Linked DNA regions of Saccharomyces cerevisiae S288C. Each later gene encodes a partner of the first gene's protein in a complex. Each region holds a gene or a part of one and is shown in the gene's direction. Other genes may lie near its edges.

Region 1 (5,679 bases):
TGTAGTTTATAATAGGCAACTTTAATGTTCCCAGAAGACGCGTTTTCCATTACTTATTATACCCAAAAAAAAAAATTAAAAAAAAACAACTTCGAACATGCAAACGCAAAGCGAAGGAAATTATAACTTTGACTTCTAACCTATTAAAGAAATACAAACAACCGGCAAGGAGCCACTGATTACCAGGTATTTATGAGTAGTATTGTTAATAAAAGTGGTACACGCTTTGCCCCTAAAGTAAGGCAGCGTAGAGCCGCCACTGGAGGAACACCAACTCCAAAGCCAAGAACCCCTCAACTTTTCATTCCCGAAAGTAAAGAAATAGAAGAAGATAATAGTGATAACGATAAAGGTGTTGATGAAAATGAAACGGCTATTGTTGAGAAACCTTCGCTAGTTGGAGAACGCTCTTTAGAAGGCTTTACCTTAACCGGCACTAATGGACATGATAATGAAATAGGTGATGAGGGCCCCATTGACGCCTCGACCCAGAACCCCAAAGCAGACGTTATAGAAGATAATGTGACTCTAAAACCGGCACCCTTGCAAACCCACCGAGACCAGAAGGTACCGAGATCCAGCAGATTAGCTTCACTGAGTAAGGACAACGAAAGTCGTCCAAGTTTTAAACCGTCATTTCTCGATTCTTCCAGTAACAGTAATGGGACTGCGCGACGTTTATCTACAATCTCCAATAAGCTTCCTAAAAAGATAAGGCTTGGAAGCATTACAGAAAACGATATGAATCTGAAAACTTTCAAAAGACATAGGGTTTTGGGCAAACCTTCTTCGGCTAAGAAACCAGCAGGTGCACACAGAATCAGTATTGTCTCCAAAATTTCTCCACCTACGGCAATGACCGATTCTTTGGACAGGAATGAATTTTCGTCAGAAACTTCTACATCAAGAGAAGCTGATGAGAATGAAAATTATGTGATTAGCAAAGTCAAAGATATCCCGAAAAAAGTGAGAGATGGGGAGTCTGCTAAATATTTTATCGATGAAGAGAATTTTACGATGGCAGAGTTGTGTAAGCCAAACTTTCCTATTGGTCAAATATCTGAAAACTTTGAAAAATCTAAAATGGCAAAAAAGGCAAAATTGGAAAAGAGAAGGCATCTTAGAGAACTCAGAATGCGCGCACGACAAGAATTTAAACCACTACACTCATTGACTAAAGAAGAACAGGAAGAAGAAGAGGAGAAGAGAAAGGAAGAAAGAGATAAACTACTCAACGCTGACATTCCTGAGTCAGACCGCAAAGCACATACGGCGATCCAACTGAAGCTTAACCCTGATGGTACTATGGCAATTGATGAAGAGACTATGGTTGTTGACAGACACAAAAATGCTAGTATCGAAAATGAATATAAAGAAAAAGTTGATGAAAACCCTTTTGCCAATCTTTATAATTACGGGTCGTATGGTAGGGGTTCATACACAGACCCGTGGACTGTGGAAGAAATGATAAAGTTCTACAAGGCGCTTTCTATGTGGGGGACAGATTTCAATTTGATCTCACAATTATACCCTTATAGATCAAGAAAACAAGTGAAGGCCAAATTCGTTAATGAGGAGAAGAAACGTCCAATATTGATTGAATTGGCCCTTCGATCTAAGCTACCGCCTAATTTTGATGAGTATTGCTGCGAAATCAAGAAGAACATTGGTACAGTAGCAGACTTCAACGAGAAACTAATCGAATTACAAAACGAGCACAAACATCATATGAAGGAAATCGAAGAAGCAAAGAATACGGCAAAGGAGGAAGACCAAACTGCACAAAGGCTAAATGATGCTAATTTGAATAAAAAGGGATCTGGTGGTATTATGACAAATGATTTGAAAGTTTATAGAAAAACGGAAGTTGTTCTGGGTACAATTGATGACTTGAAAAGGAAGAAACTCAAAGAAAGGAATAATGATGACAATGAGGATAATGAAGGAAGTGAAGAAGAGCCTGAGATTGATCAATAAGAGACATTTATATGCATACATAATGGATAAATAGCACAACTTTTTGTTGTATTATATCATTTTCTTCAGGTGTACCGCGGCATCAATAAATGAAGCGATGTTCGGAAGAAAAAATTGGCAACGAAAACAGTATTATGAAAGTTACATATGAGGATCGTTCTATAAGCAAAAGAAACAAAAGGATGATATGATTAGTAAAGAGTATGAATTTGGTAAGACTAGTATACTGAATAGAAAGAAGTATACATTAGTTATCGATGAAGACAAGAATGGCAATTTTATAAGATTTACCGTTTTACCTGTATCTAACCGAAAGTTCAAAAAAGTCAAGCAAAATGGGAGGGTAGAGATTAACATGGGCATACAATATCACCAAATTGTACTTATTTTACTACTGAATATTTTGTTCTATGTAATTTGCCTAAGATCAAGATTTCTCGAACATATTAATAGAACTTTTGAAGTGACAATCGCGCGAAGTTTCCAGATCTTAATTATAATGGGATTGTTTGCCTTAGGTACAATTATACTTGTGAGGGGACCTAGTGTGGAAACTGTAACAATTTTCAAAGAAAGTGGACTACAGCTGTCCAGAGTGAAGGGTATGGTTATATTTCCTCAACAATGGAATCGGAAGTTCTTTGAACAAGTAGAGTTTATATCCAATGAAAGAATTATTGATGTAGTGATCAATGAAGGATTCTGTCGGGGATTTCGAGTGATATTCTATCTTGCAGCAATTGTACGTAAATCGTCTACGCTTAAGCTATTATTTCCAGTATGTATTCAAGCGAATTTAAGATTGTTTCTTACTTCAACGATCTGATTAGAAATACTAACACAACAATGCAGTCAAATTTGCCCAGTATCGATGACCAACGTCTAATATACAACATATCTAGAAAATATCTCAGTAAGCAAGAAAAACCCCTGAGCAGACCAAAAGATTGAACATCAAATTATCATTACAGAAAATCTTGAGACATTTTGGTATATACTTATATTTTAGTGTATGTTTATATATAATTATAGATAAGAATTTGAACACACTTAAGTTGCAGAACAAAAAAAAGGGGAATTGTTTTCATTACATGGTAGATAATTTGTTGATGATTTCATTCGTGAAGTCAGTAGTAGAAGAGGAACCACCAATATCTCTAGTGGTATGCTTACCTTCTGCGATCGTTTCATGAACTGCCTTTGAGATTCTAGTAGCATATTCATTCAAACCCAAATGGTTCAACATTAACGTGGAGGAAAGGATCATGGCAGTTGGGTTAGCCACATTTTGGCCTTTAATATCTAAACCAACATGTCTGGAACCTGGTTCGAAGACAGCATAGTCCCTGCCAAAGTTGGCACCTGCCACCAATCCTGGACCACCGATCAAAGCAGCGCCAATGTTGCCTAAGATGGTACCGTACATTGAAGGGGTAACTAGGACATCAAATTGATGAGGTTTGGCCACCGCCTGCATGGAGGCATTGTCGACAATGATGGACGATACGTCAATATCAGGATATTCTTTTTGGCCAATTTCAGTTATTATATTTCTGAACAGACCGTCACCTAACTTCATGATATTTGCCTTATGCACAGCTGTGACAGACTTTCTGTTGTATTTCTTGGCGAAGTCAAAGGCAAATCTGGCGATCCTTTCTGTCTTAGGTCTAGTCATAACTTTCAAAGATTCCACTACACCAGGGACGGATTCATGTTCCAGGCCTGAGAACTCACCCTCCGTGTTTTCTCTAATGACAATCAAATCTATGTCTGGAATTCTAGTCTTGACACCCTTCAAGGATTTGAAAAGGGCCACATTGGCGTAGATATCTAGTTGTTTACGCAAAGCAACGTTTAGTGAACCGTGACCTGTTTGGTCAGCAGGAGTGTGCCATAGCCCCTTAAGACCAATCTTATTTCTCTTTAGAGACTCAACAGCTTCATAGACGCCTTCCTTATGATCTGTTTGCTTAATGTTTATAGTTTCCCAGTCGATCGGGATATTTTCAGCCTCAAAAATGGTTCTCACTGAATCAGTGATTTCTTTCCCAACACCGTCACCAGGTATCAAAGTGACGGTGAAACGACCGCCATACTTCTTGGGTAGGGTGCGTTCCGCCTGAGCGGCAGTGGCTAAAGTTCTCTTAGCAATTGTTCTGTTAAGCATTTTTCTCTTACAATTATGGAGGAAAAGGGAGAAGAATGAGGATAGGGAGAATAATGAACCTTGATTGTTACCAGTAATATTAAGGTACTGTTGAAATAGATCTACGGTAGAGTAAAGAAATCAATCAATCAAGAATAAGCCAATGAAGCGGAAGAAAACAAGAAAAAAGACCTATGGAAAATATAGATAGTCCTATGTGCTCACCCACATAAAACACTTATATATATATTCAGTGTAGGCATGTATTGTACGGGGATATATATATGAGGGTCTTCCTTTAATCGCTAAATAACAATACCGAGCTACCAAAAAAAATAAAAGAAGGTTTCTGCAATATGGTTGGTTGATGAGTGACCTATGACGCCCGATGCTCGGAGAAGGTGGTCAGGCACACGTGATTCACCTAAACTCGGCGCCGAAAAAAATTTGATCAGCCGTACAGTGTGATTGTTATCACGTGATAGTAACGTAAGTCACGTGCTTTCTAACCATCACCCCGCACGAACGTTCGTTCCCGTTTCGATGTTGACGTCAGAATGAGCTAACTTGACGCCACTGAATTAATTCGCATTGTCACCATGACGCTTATCAAGCCGAAAAAATTACTAGTGATTCCTTCCTCCCCCTCTCTCGATGAGTAATTTTGAAATGAACAAGTAGGCTGACATAGAGTACTATAAATACTTAGGAAGTAATGATTCTCGAGGATAGGTAAGAGCTGTCCTCTTCTAATTCTTGTTCGTTTTCTTCTGAAAACCCCAACCACATCAACTACAGCTAAGACTACAAATTTCAATTATTACACATCAGAATGAGCGCTACCGAATCTTCATCTATATTCACATTGAGTCACAACTCAAACCTACAAGATATCTTGGCCGCCAATGCCAAATGGGCCTCCCAGATGAACAACATACAGCCAACTTTGTTCCCAGATCACAATGCGAAGGGCCAGTCCCCTCACACTCTTTTCATCGGCTGCTCCGATTCGCGTTACAACGAAAACTGTTTAGGTGTCTTGCCCGGCGAAGTGTTCACTTGGAAAAATGTTGCTAACATATGTCACTCAGAGGATTTAACTTTGAAGGCCACTTTAGAGTTTGCCATTATTTGTCTAAAAGTTAACAAAGTTATTATTTGTGGCCACACTGATTGTGGTGGTATAAAGACATGTTTAACTAACCAAAGGGAAGCCTTACCAAAAGTTAACTGTTCTCATCTGTACAAGTACTTAGACGATATTGACACCATGTACCATGAAGAGTCACAAAATTTGATCCATTTGAAAACGCAACGTGAAAAATCTCATTACCTGTCGCACTGTAACGTCAAAAGGCAGTTTAATAGGATTATTGAAAACCCTACTGTGCAAACTGCTGTACAAAATGGAGAATTACAGGTATACGGTCTGCTTTACAACGTAGAGGACGGTCTACTGCAAACAGTTAGCACTTACACAAAAGTTACCCCAAAATAGTTTTAGCCTCACCGATATACTTATATAATATTCATTGAAATAGAAAGACATTTAC
Region 2 (7,063 bases), on another chromosome or scaffold:
TGTATTTTCTGAGGATAGACGAACTTAAGATAATGCTTAATTTGCTGTGGTCGTTTTTCTTCTTCTTTCACTTCCATGCTTTCTGATATTAGGGCAATGAAAATGTTCAAGATCACTGAGTTGGATAGTAGAAACCATATAATAAAAAATACTGAGCAAAAAAAAGTTGAGGAGATGTTTGGTGAGTGTTTTTGGAGGGCATATAGGATATCCGTCCAATTTTCAGTTGAACCTATTATAAACAAAGAAAGAAATGAATTCGGTAGTGAATACATTCCAAATGGCTGGTCTGCCATTTCTTCTGGAGGAATCACGCCTTCGAAATACACAGCCATGATTATAGCAACCAAAAAGGTGAAAAAAAAGTAAAAAGACGATAAGTTCCAAATCATAACACCATTACTCAATATTTGTTTCCATAGTTTTTTTGTTAAATTGAAAGAAATAATCACCCTGTAAAATCTGGATATGTGGAATATGGATAGCCAGGCATACATATGTCCTAGAACCCCTTCAACAGCCAGGCAACTAATAACCAGAGTAATAATTGATATAATAAAATCGTAAACGTAACTAGGTTTTGTTAAAAACTTCCACATATTGGGCAGATATAATACTAACCTTGCCAGTGATTCGATGAAGAGAACAATCGAAATTCCCCTGTCAGTTTTTAGAAGGATATTGTTACAGTTTGCCGAAGTCGATACTTTAACAGAGGCGCGCATACCTATATCGCAAATAATAAGTATGACAAAGATAAACTCAACGTGGGAATAAATAGCTAGTCCTTTTTGGGACCAATTTGGGAATTTTGTCTGATTCGCCTTAAGCTTAAAATATTTCCAGTAGCCTGTTACTATGCGAGCAACATAACCTGTCTTTCTAGAACCATATATGAACTTTTTCTTTTTGTACTCCTCATTGGCTATTTCAAAAGATGATACCAACACTGCAATGAGTAGATTTAGCAGCCAGATAGTTAAAACAAAGATGCAAACAATAAAAAACAAACAGGCAGCCATTTCATCCGAATCCATCGTATAGTACATTAAGTCAGTAAAAGTATTCGCACTCATAATGACAAAAACGAGCTCCATGGAATTAACAATATTATCAAAACTAATTCTGCCGTTGTAGGGGTTGGCATTGGAAACACATTTCGAATATTGTGGGCAAAGAAAGCCTTTTGAAACAGAACCTTCTGATCCGTCTTCATAGATATAATTTTGTTTTCGTTTTGTTACTGGATCTAGGTAACCACCACAGAATTGCATATCGTACTGGTAAGTATCGGTAGGATCTTCAGGGTTAAACCATACACATTGTCTTCGAAAAGAGCCCTGAAAAATCTGTACTCCCAAAATCCCAAAGAAAATCCAAAAGTAAACTAGCATTGAACTAACATTTACCAACTGTGGGATACCATATTTCAATCCCCTTAGAATTGAGGGCATACCAGTATCCACGTTTACAAGTCGAAGAATCCTTAATATAGCAAGGGGCTTGAATATTCTTATGCCTGTTTTTGTATCATAACTTTTTATGGATAAAAACATACCTAGCCAAAAACTGACAGAAGATACCAGATCTATTCTATTCCACGATGATCTCGCAAAGGCTCTTGGGGTGCCAAAAGGCCTCTGATTTTCCTTTGCCCCATAAGGTTTCGTCAGGGAAGTACTCAACGAACTTCGTTGATATTTTGTCTCTTCTCCCGGCGATATGATCCTAAATGGAATAATGAAATCTATTAGCTTTCTACCATACTTTTCTCTCAGATATATGTATAGTTTCATAATTCCAGATCTCTGTAAGATTGATTTATACTCACGTCCATAGGCTTTAAACATTTCAGAATCGTCCCAAAATCCAAACGCAATTATTTTAGCAATATCATTGCCTGTAAAGCAAGCTGATAAAATAAAAATGAAATAGTCGGTCCAGTTAGAGAAACGGTATAAAAAAACCACATTGTGAGGGTTATATGTCCTTATCGCCAGGAGAATGGCATAAAATGTTAACAAAGTGTTGTAAAGTAACGAATACCGCCTATGCAACAAAAAACGAGCAATTTTTATTCTTAGCGGATTCGTAGGCGAGAAAACCCCAAGAGAATGTCCATAAAGCACAAAGGGCCTTGATTCCAGTTTTCTTTGAAGGGTTTCAAAATCTAGAATGTCTTCAGCATACTCAATAACTTCTGTTTGGTCTTTATCTTCTTTTTGCGGTGATAAATGATGAAAAAACTTTGGACTGGGTTTCTTTCTTGAATTATTAATAGAGCCTTCTAGACCCTCAGATACCGAACCATTCTGCGCGGGTTCGGGTGTTAGATGAATTGATCCTGGAGTAGCGCTTGCTCCTACATTGGGTGTATGAACGTCAGGTATAGATTCTTGTTCTCCTTCTCCTCTATCTTCTCCAACGTCTGATACAGGACGGCTTTTTTCTGATTTTAATTGGGGTAGCCATGTCAGGCCCTCTTCGTCTATTGCACTTTTAAATCCCTTTTGCAAATCTTCAAAATCATCCATATCATCAGCGGCAATTAGCGATAAAACCTTTGCCGACCGTGGAGGCCTATCCGTTGAGCTTGGTGAATTAGAAACACGCCTACTAGATGATCGGCTATAACTACTGAAGCTACGCCTGCGTAGCCTTTCATCATTTAAATCAATATACTGCGAACTAGACTTGGCAGATTTTGTAGAGGGTGAAACATTACGCCGGGAAGATTCAGCGGCACCAAATGATGCTGTTTTAAGTGAGAGTTTAGGCCTGCTCAAGTTTTCATGACTACTCCTTCCGACACGAGTACGAAATATGTTGGAGATTAAGGAGCTATCTTTATCATTTCCATTGTACTCGTCACCTTTTTTTTCTTCAGTACTGTGGATGCTGCTCTCTGGTGGCACGATATTTAAAGCTGGTGGGACCAAAGCTTGTGGTTTTGATTCTAGACGGTTACCATCTGTTTCGCTGTTATCCTCAACATTTTCCGTCATTACTGCTGCATTGTCCCCAAATGGATTGGTATTTGGCTCAAATGGTTCCGTAAGCGTCCTTTTTCTCCCCTGCATAGTACTAACAATATATTCTATTTAGTAATGCCGTGTATTTTGATTTTCCTTATGTTAGCTTGTCACCAACCATTGATTCATGATCTTCTATCTCATCTATATTTATTTTCAGTGAGAATGCCGAAATGTAGAATATGAAAAAAACCTACCAGAACATAATACCAAAAAGAATGAAAATTCCTCTGTGAACAGGAACCTTCGAATTCAGGGGCGGTTTTATACAGTTAAATGACATGCCAAATTACATTTTCTGGCCATACGAATCCTTGTTCGAGAATTCCGCAGCTCAAGGACCTCAGGTAGCTTTGGCAATTTCATTTGAGAAGACGCATTTTGTTGTCTTAGGTGTTTGCGAACCTCAGTATTTAGAAGAAGTAAGCATACGGCCCCCTTATTCAGTGGTAGCTACTAAGAACAATGGAGCGGAGGGTTGGAACTACAAAGTTGCTGATCCCTGTAATGTCCATTTTAGAATACCCAAGCTGAAATTTATGCAATTCTATTCTTCTGATCCCATCTCGCTCATCATACCAGAAAAAGAAGTTGGTCTTCATAGTAGTGTGGGTGAAACTCTGAACTATTCTAAATTAGAGCAACATCCAAGATACAAGAGAGATAATAAGAAATTGAGTGAAACTTTGAACATCATTAATCTATTCCCCGCATATTGTAAAGCATTAAATGAGCTTTACCCGTTTATTCAAACATCACAGGAAAATTTGAGGGGTACTATGCTTAATAGTGTCGCAGCTTGGTGTTCATCTACTTGTATTTATAAAATGGTCGCAAAAATTGGTTTTTATTTGACTTTTGTGATCTGCTCTATTGCTAGTCTCGTATCCTCGTTATTAAATTATTCGCACTTTCAGTTGGTAAATTACTCGGCATTTGTCCAGCAAATCGATCTTCGTTGTCAACAAATTTGCTATTTCCCAGTACAGTATGAGCGTATTAATAAGAAGGATAACATACAGAATGTTGGCTCTATGGTGGAAAAAGATAATTCTAATAGTCAATTCTCACATTCATATATGCCTTCTAAATTCTATCCCGATTATATTTTATTGTATAATACAATTTGGCTTATTATTAATGACATTTCATTTGGTTTAATATTGGGGGCCATACTTATTGAGAATCGAGATTTCTTGGTGTCGGCATCCCATAGAGTATTGAAGTTTTTTTTATATGATTCATTAAAAACAATAACTGAAACGTTAGCAAATAACCCCCTTGGCATCAAATTAAATGCAGAACTTGCGAACTTTTTGAGCGAATTATTTCTTTGGGTGATAGAATTTTCTTATACCACATTCATAAAAAGACTCATTGATCCGAAAACCCTATCATCTTTGCTCACGTTAACGATATATATGATGTTTCTCGTTGGCTTTTCTTTTGCTGTTTCCCTAGCGATTGATTTTTTTGCAATTTTAAGTTTTCCAATATATGTTTTTTATCGTATCAGCAGTAAACTGTACCATTGTCAGTTGAATATTATGGCTAGTCTTTTTAACCTGTTCTGCGGTAAAAAGAGGAACGTTTTACGAAATAGGATTGACCATAACTATTTTCAACTAGATCAATTGCTATTGGGAACATTATTATTTATTATTCTAGTGTTCTTGACTCCCACAGTGATGGCATTCTATATGTCATACACAGTTTTGAGAATGCTAACAATAACTATCGAAATATTCTCGGAAGCTGTCATTGCACTCATTAACCATTTTCCATTGTTCGCATTATTACTTAGGTTAAAAGATCCTAAACGTCTACCCGGTGGCATTTCAATTGAGCTCAAAACCACGGTTTCTAACAAGCATACAACCTTAGAACTTCAAAACAATCCTATTAAATTCAAGAGTATGTTCAGACCATACAATCTATTGTTGTCGCAAATGAGGACAAATTATTTCTCGTTTGCTACTGTACGAAAGATTGTCCGAGGGGAGTCTATAATGGTCAATAGAAATAAGCTGTACTATGTTCTTTATTCTTCACTGCCTAGTAAGCCATTGAGTGTAAAGGATTTATACAAAAGGCTGACTATTCAGGCATAACGTTTTCTTTTATAAGTAAAGTAGCGTTTTCTTGCTTCAGCTATTTGTTGTTTTATTTTTGATTTTGTATGTACATGAAATGAGTTTCTACATAATGAATATTTTTTTTAGTAAGGGTGCTCCAATCATTTTTTTTTCTTCCCCTTCCCCTTTGCAGTTGCAGCTGCATCCTTCTTCATCTTCTTAGGAGCACCTTTACCACGACGTTTCTTTGCTTCTACCATAGATAATCGATATTGCTCCTCAAGGTCTACAAATTCAATATCAGGATATAATGTTTTCAAATGTCTGAACTTCAGGATATCCGGATTGCCGTAGTAGCTTGCCACAGAAGGGCCCTTTAATCGCTCATTTAGAATCTTAGAACCGGTTCTTATACCTGATGGGTTGAAATTTTGATCAAATATCTTCGCAGATAACTCTGCTACTTTTAGGAGTCTCGCCTTTGGTACGTTCATTGAAAGTCTTATGATAAACTAATCCACGCAATCACTACGTACCACTTCGTCGAGCGGGTCAAAACAAGTACCTATTCTCCATGGCTATGTGCTCTAAAATGGTTTAGAAGTTCGCTTATTATATTTCTAACTGTTTTAGATCACTATATACGCTACGTGTTGATAAGACTTCATTTGCACATTTTTACTACAATAGCTAACTACTCTCAATTGATTAAACTTCTCAGCAAATAAAGTACATGGCTAAATGTGTGACAAGATGACACAATGAATGTATTTCTTTTTTCTTGATTTTTATTTAGCCGCTAAATTGATAAAGAAATCTGTTATTCTAATAAAACATTATACTATAATTATTAATATACTATTTGTAAATATCACCTTACTTACCACTCGACGTTGTCAGCATTTTCTTCAGCCCATTCAGTAGCTTCAGCTTGCTCTTCGGTAACCTCTTCCTTGGCTTCTTCTTCACCAGCTTCTTCGGTGGTAGCTTCTTCAGCAACTTGTTGTTCAACTTCTTCAGGGTCTCTGTAGAAGTACAAATCTGGCATGATGGACCATGGTTGAGTTCTGTCAACTAAAGCACCTCTTAGTCTCAAAACTTCTCTAGCCAATAAGTACCAGATTAAACCAATGGAGTGCTTACCTCTGTTGTTACATGGGATAGCGACATCGACGAATTCTGATGGAGAGTCAAGATCAGTTAGAGCAATGACAGGGATGTTAACGTAAGAAGCTTCCTTGATGGCTTGAGCATCTGATCTTGGGTCGGTGACAATAACTAATCTTGGTTCCTTGAAAGAACGGGTGATATAATTGGTGAAAGAACCTGGAGTGAATCTACCGGCGATTGGGGTAGCACCGGTGTGGGCAGCGAACTTCAAAACAGCCCTTTGACCGAAAGTTCTGGAAGAGATGGCAACAACGTCTTCTGGGTTTGGAATGGCAGCGATGATTCTGGCAGCCAAAACCAATTTTTCCCAGGTCTTACCAACGTTGATAACGTGGACACCATCTGGTCTTGCGTTGAAAACATATGGTTCTTGGTGAACCTGAAACAAAATTAAAGAAGAAAAAGTTAGTATAAAAGATTCAAAAACGTACACTTGGTATATGCTGTGAATGATCAACTGATTCAAATTAATGTACTATGAAAAAATGGCATTTATAGTTGGCTAACAGCGTCGGAAGAATAGGTACCGGAATTAATTGATTTCATTGAAAGAGGTTTAATACCAAAGGTTTGTTTTTTTTTTTCATTAGCGATTTAAAATTTAATAACATAATACAATTAGAAAGTCTATTGGCAAAATATTCGCTGATAATTAGCTGGAGTTTCAAACTGTTTTAATGATTGTTCATATATTTCTCTTCTTATTCAGCCTGAAAAATGCTATCCCAGCATTCCGTTTGGTTGGCGGGAAACCTGGTTGTGGCTATTCTTTCACTCGAACTGTTT
Region 3 (5,432 bases), on another chromosome or scaffold:
CTACAAAGATGTTGGTGGGTTCTGGATCTTTCCCAACCTGTTCGAAGATTGCGGTGTACTAGAGAGTTTTAAGCCACTTTACGGTTTTGGTGAGAAGGATACTTATAGTTACAAAAAGAAACTGAAAAGAATGAAGAAGAAACAAGCCAAGAGAGAAAGCAATAAGAAGAAAGCCATCAATGAAAAAGCCGAACAAAACTGAACTTCCATTATCCTGTATAGCTCTACTGTATAAACCTTCTATATTGTAACCTCATGAACTCGCACATGTACAAACCTTCAAGAGAACCGGCACCAAAGCGCTACCATCTGGTTGCTTCATCGCTTATAGTGAGTAGTTTTAGATTTGAAGGTTATCGCTCCTGGCAAAAATCTGAATCCACACACCGCATAATTAGCGGTTATTATTACTCAATTTCCGGCCGGCTTTAATATACTTTCACCGAAAGGTCTCTATATAGAAGCTATTTGCTGACACTTGCTTACAGGAATCGATTATATAAGAAGGGTTCTGCATCTGGTTGCCTACTTAGTTTTCGGTATTTTTGAAGATTAGCAAAAAGATCAAGATATCAAGTATTTTCATATTTGTCATTTTAATGTTTCGCTCGGGTTACTATCCAACTGTCACTCCTAGCCATTGGGGCTATAACGGCACCGTCAAACATGTACTGGGAGAGAAAGGAACCAAGTCTTTGGCTTTCAGAGATTCTAAGCGCCAAATTCCTCTTCATGAATTCGTAACCAAACACGTGCCTACACTCAAAGATGGTGCAAATTTTAGGTTAAACAGCTTGCTTTTCACAGGTTACTTACAGACCCTTTATTTGTCAGCCGGTGATTTTTCCAAAAAATTTCAGGTATTTTATGGAAGAGAGATTATAAAATTTTCTGATGGAGGGGTCTGCACTGCAGATTGGGTTATGCCTGAATGGGAGCAAACATATTCATTAAATGCTGAAAAGGCTAGTTTTAACGAGAAACAATTTTCGAACGATGAAAAGGCCACCCATCCAAAGGGTTGGCCTCGTCTTCACCCGAGAACTAGATATCTATCCTCTGAGGAACTTGAAAAATGTCATTCTAAGGGTTATTCTTACCCTTTAGTGGTAGTACTTCATGGTCTTGCAGGGGGAAGCCATGAGCCTCTCATCAGGGCATTATCTGAAGATCTATCAAAAGTCGGTGACGGTAAATTCCAAGTGGTAGTCCTTAATGCTAGAGGTTGCTCAAGATCTAAAGTCACCACCCGTAGAATCTTTACCGCATTACACACAGGTGATGTGAGAGAATTTTTGAACCACCAAAAAGCTCTATTTCCGCAAAGAAAAATATATGCAGTCGGAACATCATTTGGAGCAGCCATGCTAACGAACTACTTAGGTGAAGAAGGAGATAACTGTCCATTAAATGCTGCAGTCGCTCTCTCAAACCCATGGGATTTCGTACACACTTGGGACAAGTTGGCTCATGATTGGTGGTCCAACCATATTTTTTCTAGAACTTTAACACAATTTCTAACAAGGACTGTCAAGGTTAATATGAATGAGTTGCAGGTACCAGAGAATTTTGAGGTTTCGCACAAACCGACAGTTGAGAAACCAGTCTTTTATACGTATACCAGAGAAAATTTGGAAAAGGCTGAAAAATTTACAGACATATTAGAATTCGATAATCTTTTCACTGCCCCATCGATGGGCCTGCCGGACGGGTTAACATATTATAGAAAGGCCAGTTCGATAAATAGATTGCCTAATATCAAAATCCCAACTTTAATAATCAACGCAACGGATGATCCAGTTACAGGTGAAAACGTAATTCCGTACAAACAAGCTAGAGAAAATCCTTGTGTGTTGTTATGCGAGACTGACTTGGGTGGACATTTGGCTTATCTCGACAATGAAAGTAATTCCTGGTTAACAAAGCAAGCTGCCGAGTTCTTGGGCAGCTTTGATGAGTTAGTTTTATAAATATGTTCTTAGATAAAATTCCTTACACATAATAATCTGTTCTTTTATTTCTCTATTTACCATCCTCCCCACGCTGTGCTTTCCAATCCGCCGATCCACTTTCTCTACCACGATTAGATGATTTCGAAGCGGCACTGACGCTTTCGGATTTCGTTTCTTGTGTCTTTCCTCTAATCAGCTCTATCTGTTCCTGCTCATCGCGACATGCAAGTTGGTATATCTCGTCATCATTTAACGAATACCTCAACCTCTTCGTTATAAATTGACAAAGGAATTTTAAATCTTCTTCCTTGATTTGATCTCTGGGCAGCTCGTTTTGGAGGATATAGCGTTTACTAACGTCAACAACGCCATCTTTACCGAACGCAATACAGTAACTCATTTTCTTGTTCCAGTTAATTGAATAGATATATGGTTGGTCGAATGATTGCTCACAGGAGTCGACATGAACCCACCTATTCAAAAAATTTGAAAAATATTCACACCAAACATGATCTTCTCTATTCCAGACGTAGCGAACATCTAACCCAAACGACTTCAAAATCAAAGTAAATAAATTGCACCATTCACCGCATCTTCCCTTTCTAGTTTCCAGCAACTTAATTGGATCGTTATAACGAGGAAATCTAGTGATATTTCCGCATCGGTTGCATTTATAGATCTCAACAGTTCCGCAATTGAATTTAGATTCCTCTCCATTGGGCCCTTGACTGCCCAGAGGTGTCATATTTTCTGAAGTGTTCTGGCCACAATGATTACAATCTGGTTTATTGCACCATTTGAAAAAATCTTGTTTGAAGTAGCGAAGCAGCTCCTTTACTAGATAATCCGTGTATATATTTTCCCCCTCTGCATGCCCATCTTTGGCAAATTCCTTATCAACATTTTTATATATTAGATCCAGATCCAATGTCTCCAGGACTATAGAATGCCATGAAGGATTGTCATAGACTGTACAGAGATGTTGACTCTGACCTAGGACTCCTTGTGCGAATTGATTTGTATGGACTAAATTCTGAAACCTTATATTCTCTACAGGTGCAGCTTTCTTGAATTTAGACAGTATGAAATCCTTATACTTAATTAACAACATTTTGGCTATTGAATCAAAATCTATGTTATTTTTTTCGTATACCTCTCCCATTGCTACTCCACCTGTTACCTTCTTCAGGTTGTTTTACGTCTTCTATATCTGTTCCCAACGCATCCTTTTTTCTTCGCTACAATACAAGGAAGATTACACTACGCAAAGTTTCGAAAACATCAAGAAGCATAGAACAGTTGAAACTAGGCAACAGGACTGTTTCAATTACATGATTGAGAATTTATAAGCGCATGAGACCACGTGACCAAGGCTTTTTGGTTTTAGGGTTTACTTACTCGGTACTCCTAATTAGTCTTGCTACATTTTACTGGTTACGCAACAATGACTCTTTCCTGCACTACTGGTGTGTATTACTGCTATGCCCTGCGACTCTCTGGCTGTGGGCCCTCATAGCCTGGTGTGACAGTGAAATGTTCGCAAGTAGTAAAGATGAATAATCGTTTATAATCTTATTTACAAGTCAGTGCATAAAATGATATAATATCACCTCACGCATGCCTATTTTATACATGTACTTTATATACCTCCCTTTTTTTTAACGCATTTCTATTATAAAACACTTCTGCTTTCCTATCCTCAAGATCAGTACTCGATCATCTATCAGGAAAGGAGCCAAGTTAGAAATATTTTCGTTTACTTTAGATTTTGAATGATGCAGATACACGCTTCCCTGGGAAAGTTTTCTTCTGGCTTCTGATACTGAACAATTTACTAGTTTACAAATTAACTTTATTAAGTCAATCTCTCTATCAGCATACTGCAAAATTCTGGCTTTTTTACATAGATCAACTAACTTCGCAGCAGATAAAGTTCCGTCATAACGTCCAAAAATAATATTAGAAAGCGCTTCTGAATCCGATCCGGAGCCAACTCCATATAACATATCTGTGACTTCTTTAGCCAATAAAGTTTGGCCATAACGTAGACTGGGTGATTTGATATGCGTTTCCACAATTTTTTTGATTTCACTTGAGTTTAAAAACGTAAAGATCTTCAAGAACTTGGGTACATCAGCATCCAAAGTATTATAAAAGAACTGGTAAACATCATACGCCGTATTGATTGAGGGGTCAATAAAAACAGCATTGCCTGCACTTTTCCCAAATTTCTCTCCTGTAGCCGTCGTCAACAAGGGCACAGTGATACCAAATGGCAAACCCTTATTCTTTATAGGCTGTATCCTATTGATGAGATCGATACCGGCTGTTATATTTCCCCATTGGTCGTTACCACCTACTTGTATAGTCACATTCTCTTCCTTATACAAATGGTAAAAATCGTACGCTTGTAAAACTTGGTAAGTAAATTCGTTAAATCCCAGACCATTTTTGGTTTGAAGCCTCGAAGAAATTGAATCCCTCGCCAACATAGATTGTACCCGAATGTGCCTACCAAAATCAGCTAAGAAATCCAACATTTTGATGTCTTTCCACCAGTTGAAATTATTCCTTGGTGTATATTTTCCGGAAGGTACATCTTCAGTGAGAGCACATCGGTTTCTGTAATATTCTAGGCCATTTTTGAAAAACCTTTGTAATTGCTGCGAGATGGATGCCACATTGCTTTGCCTAATATCGTTCTCCATAACGTCTCTTTCTGTTTTCCTACCACTTGGGTCCCCAACTTTCCCTGTAGCTCCACCTATCACAGTGACAATGTCGTGACCTTTTACGTAAAAGTGTAATAAAACCATTAGTGGAACTAGATTTCCCAAATGAAGTGACTGAGCTGTGGGATCCACCCCGCAGTATAATTTGATCTTATCGTTACCGTTCAACTTCGTCCGAAGGAAACTCTCTGGCTGTGAGACCTGGGACACTAGACCCCTTTGTTTGAGTTCGTCTAAAATATTATCGCTTCGAGAATCCGATGTGCCCTGTACTTCTAAAGCACTAGGCTGTGAATAAAATCGAGATTTAGGCAATGTTATTGCACTTAGTCCGGAATAAGTCACCAGAGGCACAAGTCTCCTACTACTATTGACCAAATTACTACAACTTCGTAATTCGAGCATGATTCACAATGTCTACCTGTAGATTGCTGTGTTCAATCGGAAACTGGAAATTCTTTCTTAACATTATGAGCCAACCACTTTTTATTTTCTTTTCAAAACTCCCGAACAAGACCAACATTACCAAACAGACTCCACTACTTTTCCATAAGAAGGAAGCACAGAACACCACACAAGATCATATAGCACAAATAGCGCAACAGCTTCAAGTCCAATATTAAGATATAATGCCTCCTCTTCCACAAAATTATGCGCAACAGCAGCCTTCGAATTGGGACAAATTCAAAATGGGGTTGATGATGGGTACTACCGTCGGTGTCTGCACAGGCATCCTATTTGGTGGATT

Evidence for each region. The genes of interacting proteins can lie anywhere in the genome.
Region 2: GPI15 (region 1) and GPI1 share a complex: the UniProt entries of both Saccharomyces cerevisiae proteins name them as parts of the phosphatidylinositol N-acetylglucosaminyltransferase (GPI-GlcNAc transferase) complex.
Region 3: GPI15 (region 1) and ERI1 share a complex: the UniProt entries of both Saccharomyces cerevisiae proteins name them as parts of the phosphatidylinositol N-acetylglucosaminyltransferase (GPI-GlcNAc transferase) complex.

The regions. Positions count from the first base shown.
Region 1 is NC_001146.8:554,856-560,534, forward strand, and holds GPI15 (phosphatidylinositol N-acetylglucosaminyltransferase GPI15), read left to right. Parts: upstream 1-2,164; coding exon 2,165-2,755; intron 2,756-2,829; coding exon 2,830-2,928; downstream 2,929-5,679. Other genes in the region: transcription factor TFIIIB subunit BDP1, read left to right, coding at 193-1,977; isocitrate dehydrogenase (NAD(+)) IDH1, read right to left, coding at 3,065-4,147; carbonate dehydratase NCE103, read left to right, coding at 4,959-5,624. UniProt on the Saccharomyces cerevisiae protein: Part of the complex catalyzing the transfer of N-acetylglucosamine from UDP-N-acetylglucosamine to phosphatidylinositol, the first step of GPI biosynthesis.
Region 2 is NC_001139.9:920,713-927,775, reverse strand, and holds GPI1 (phosphatidylinositol N-acetylglucosaminyltransferase), read left to right. Parts: upstream 1-3,313; coding exon 3,314-5,143; downstream 5,144-7,063. Other genes in the region: calcium channel protein CCH1, read right to left, coding at 1-3,080; mitochondrial 37S ribosomal protein mS33 RSM27, read right to left, coding at 5,269-5,601; 40S ribosomal protein uS2 RPS0A, read right to left, coding at 5,988-6,656. UniProt on the Saccharomyces cerevisiae protein: Part of the complex catalyzing the transfer of N-acetylglucosamine from UDP-N-acetylglucosamine to phosphatidylinositol, the first step of GPI biosynthesis.
Region 3 is NC_001148.4:364,609-370,040, reverse strand, and holds ERI1 (Eri1p), read left to right. Parts: upstream 1-3,305; coding exon 3,306-3,512; downstream 3,513-5,432. Other genes in the region: Sec63 complex subunit SEC62, read left to right, coding at 1-202; EEB1 (medium-chain fatty acid ethyl ester synthase/esterase), read left to right, coding at 600-1,970; PNG1 (peptide-N4-(N-acetyl-beta-glucosaminyl)asparagine amidase), read right to left, coding at 2,023-3,114; tyrosine--tRNA ligase MSY1, read right to left, coding at 3,611-5,089; MGR2 (Mgr2p), read left to right, coding at 5,314-5,432. UniProt on the Saccharomyces cerevisiae protein: Probable component of the GPI-GlcNAc transferase (GPI-GnT) complex in the endoplasmic reticulum, a complex that catalyzes transfer of GlcNAc from UDP-GlcNAc to an acceptor phosphatidylinositol, the first step in the production of GPI-anchors for cell surface proteins.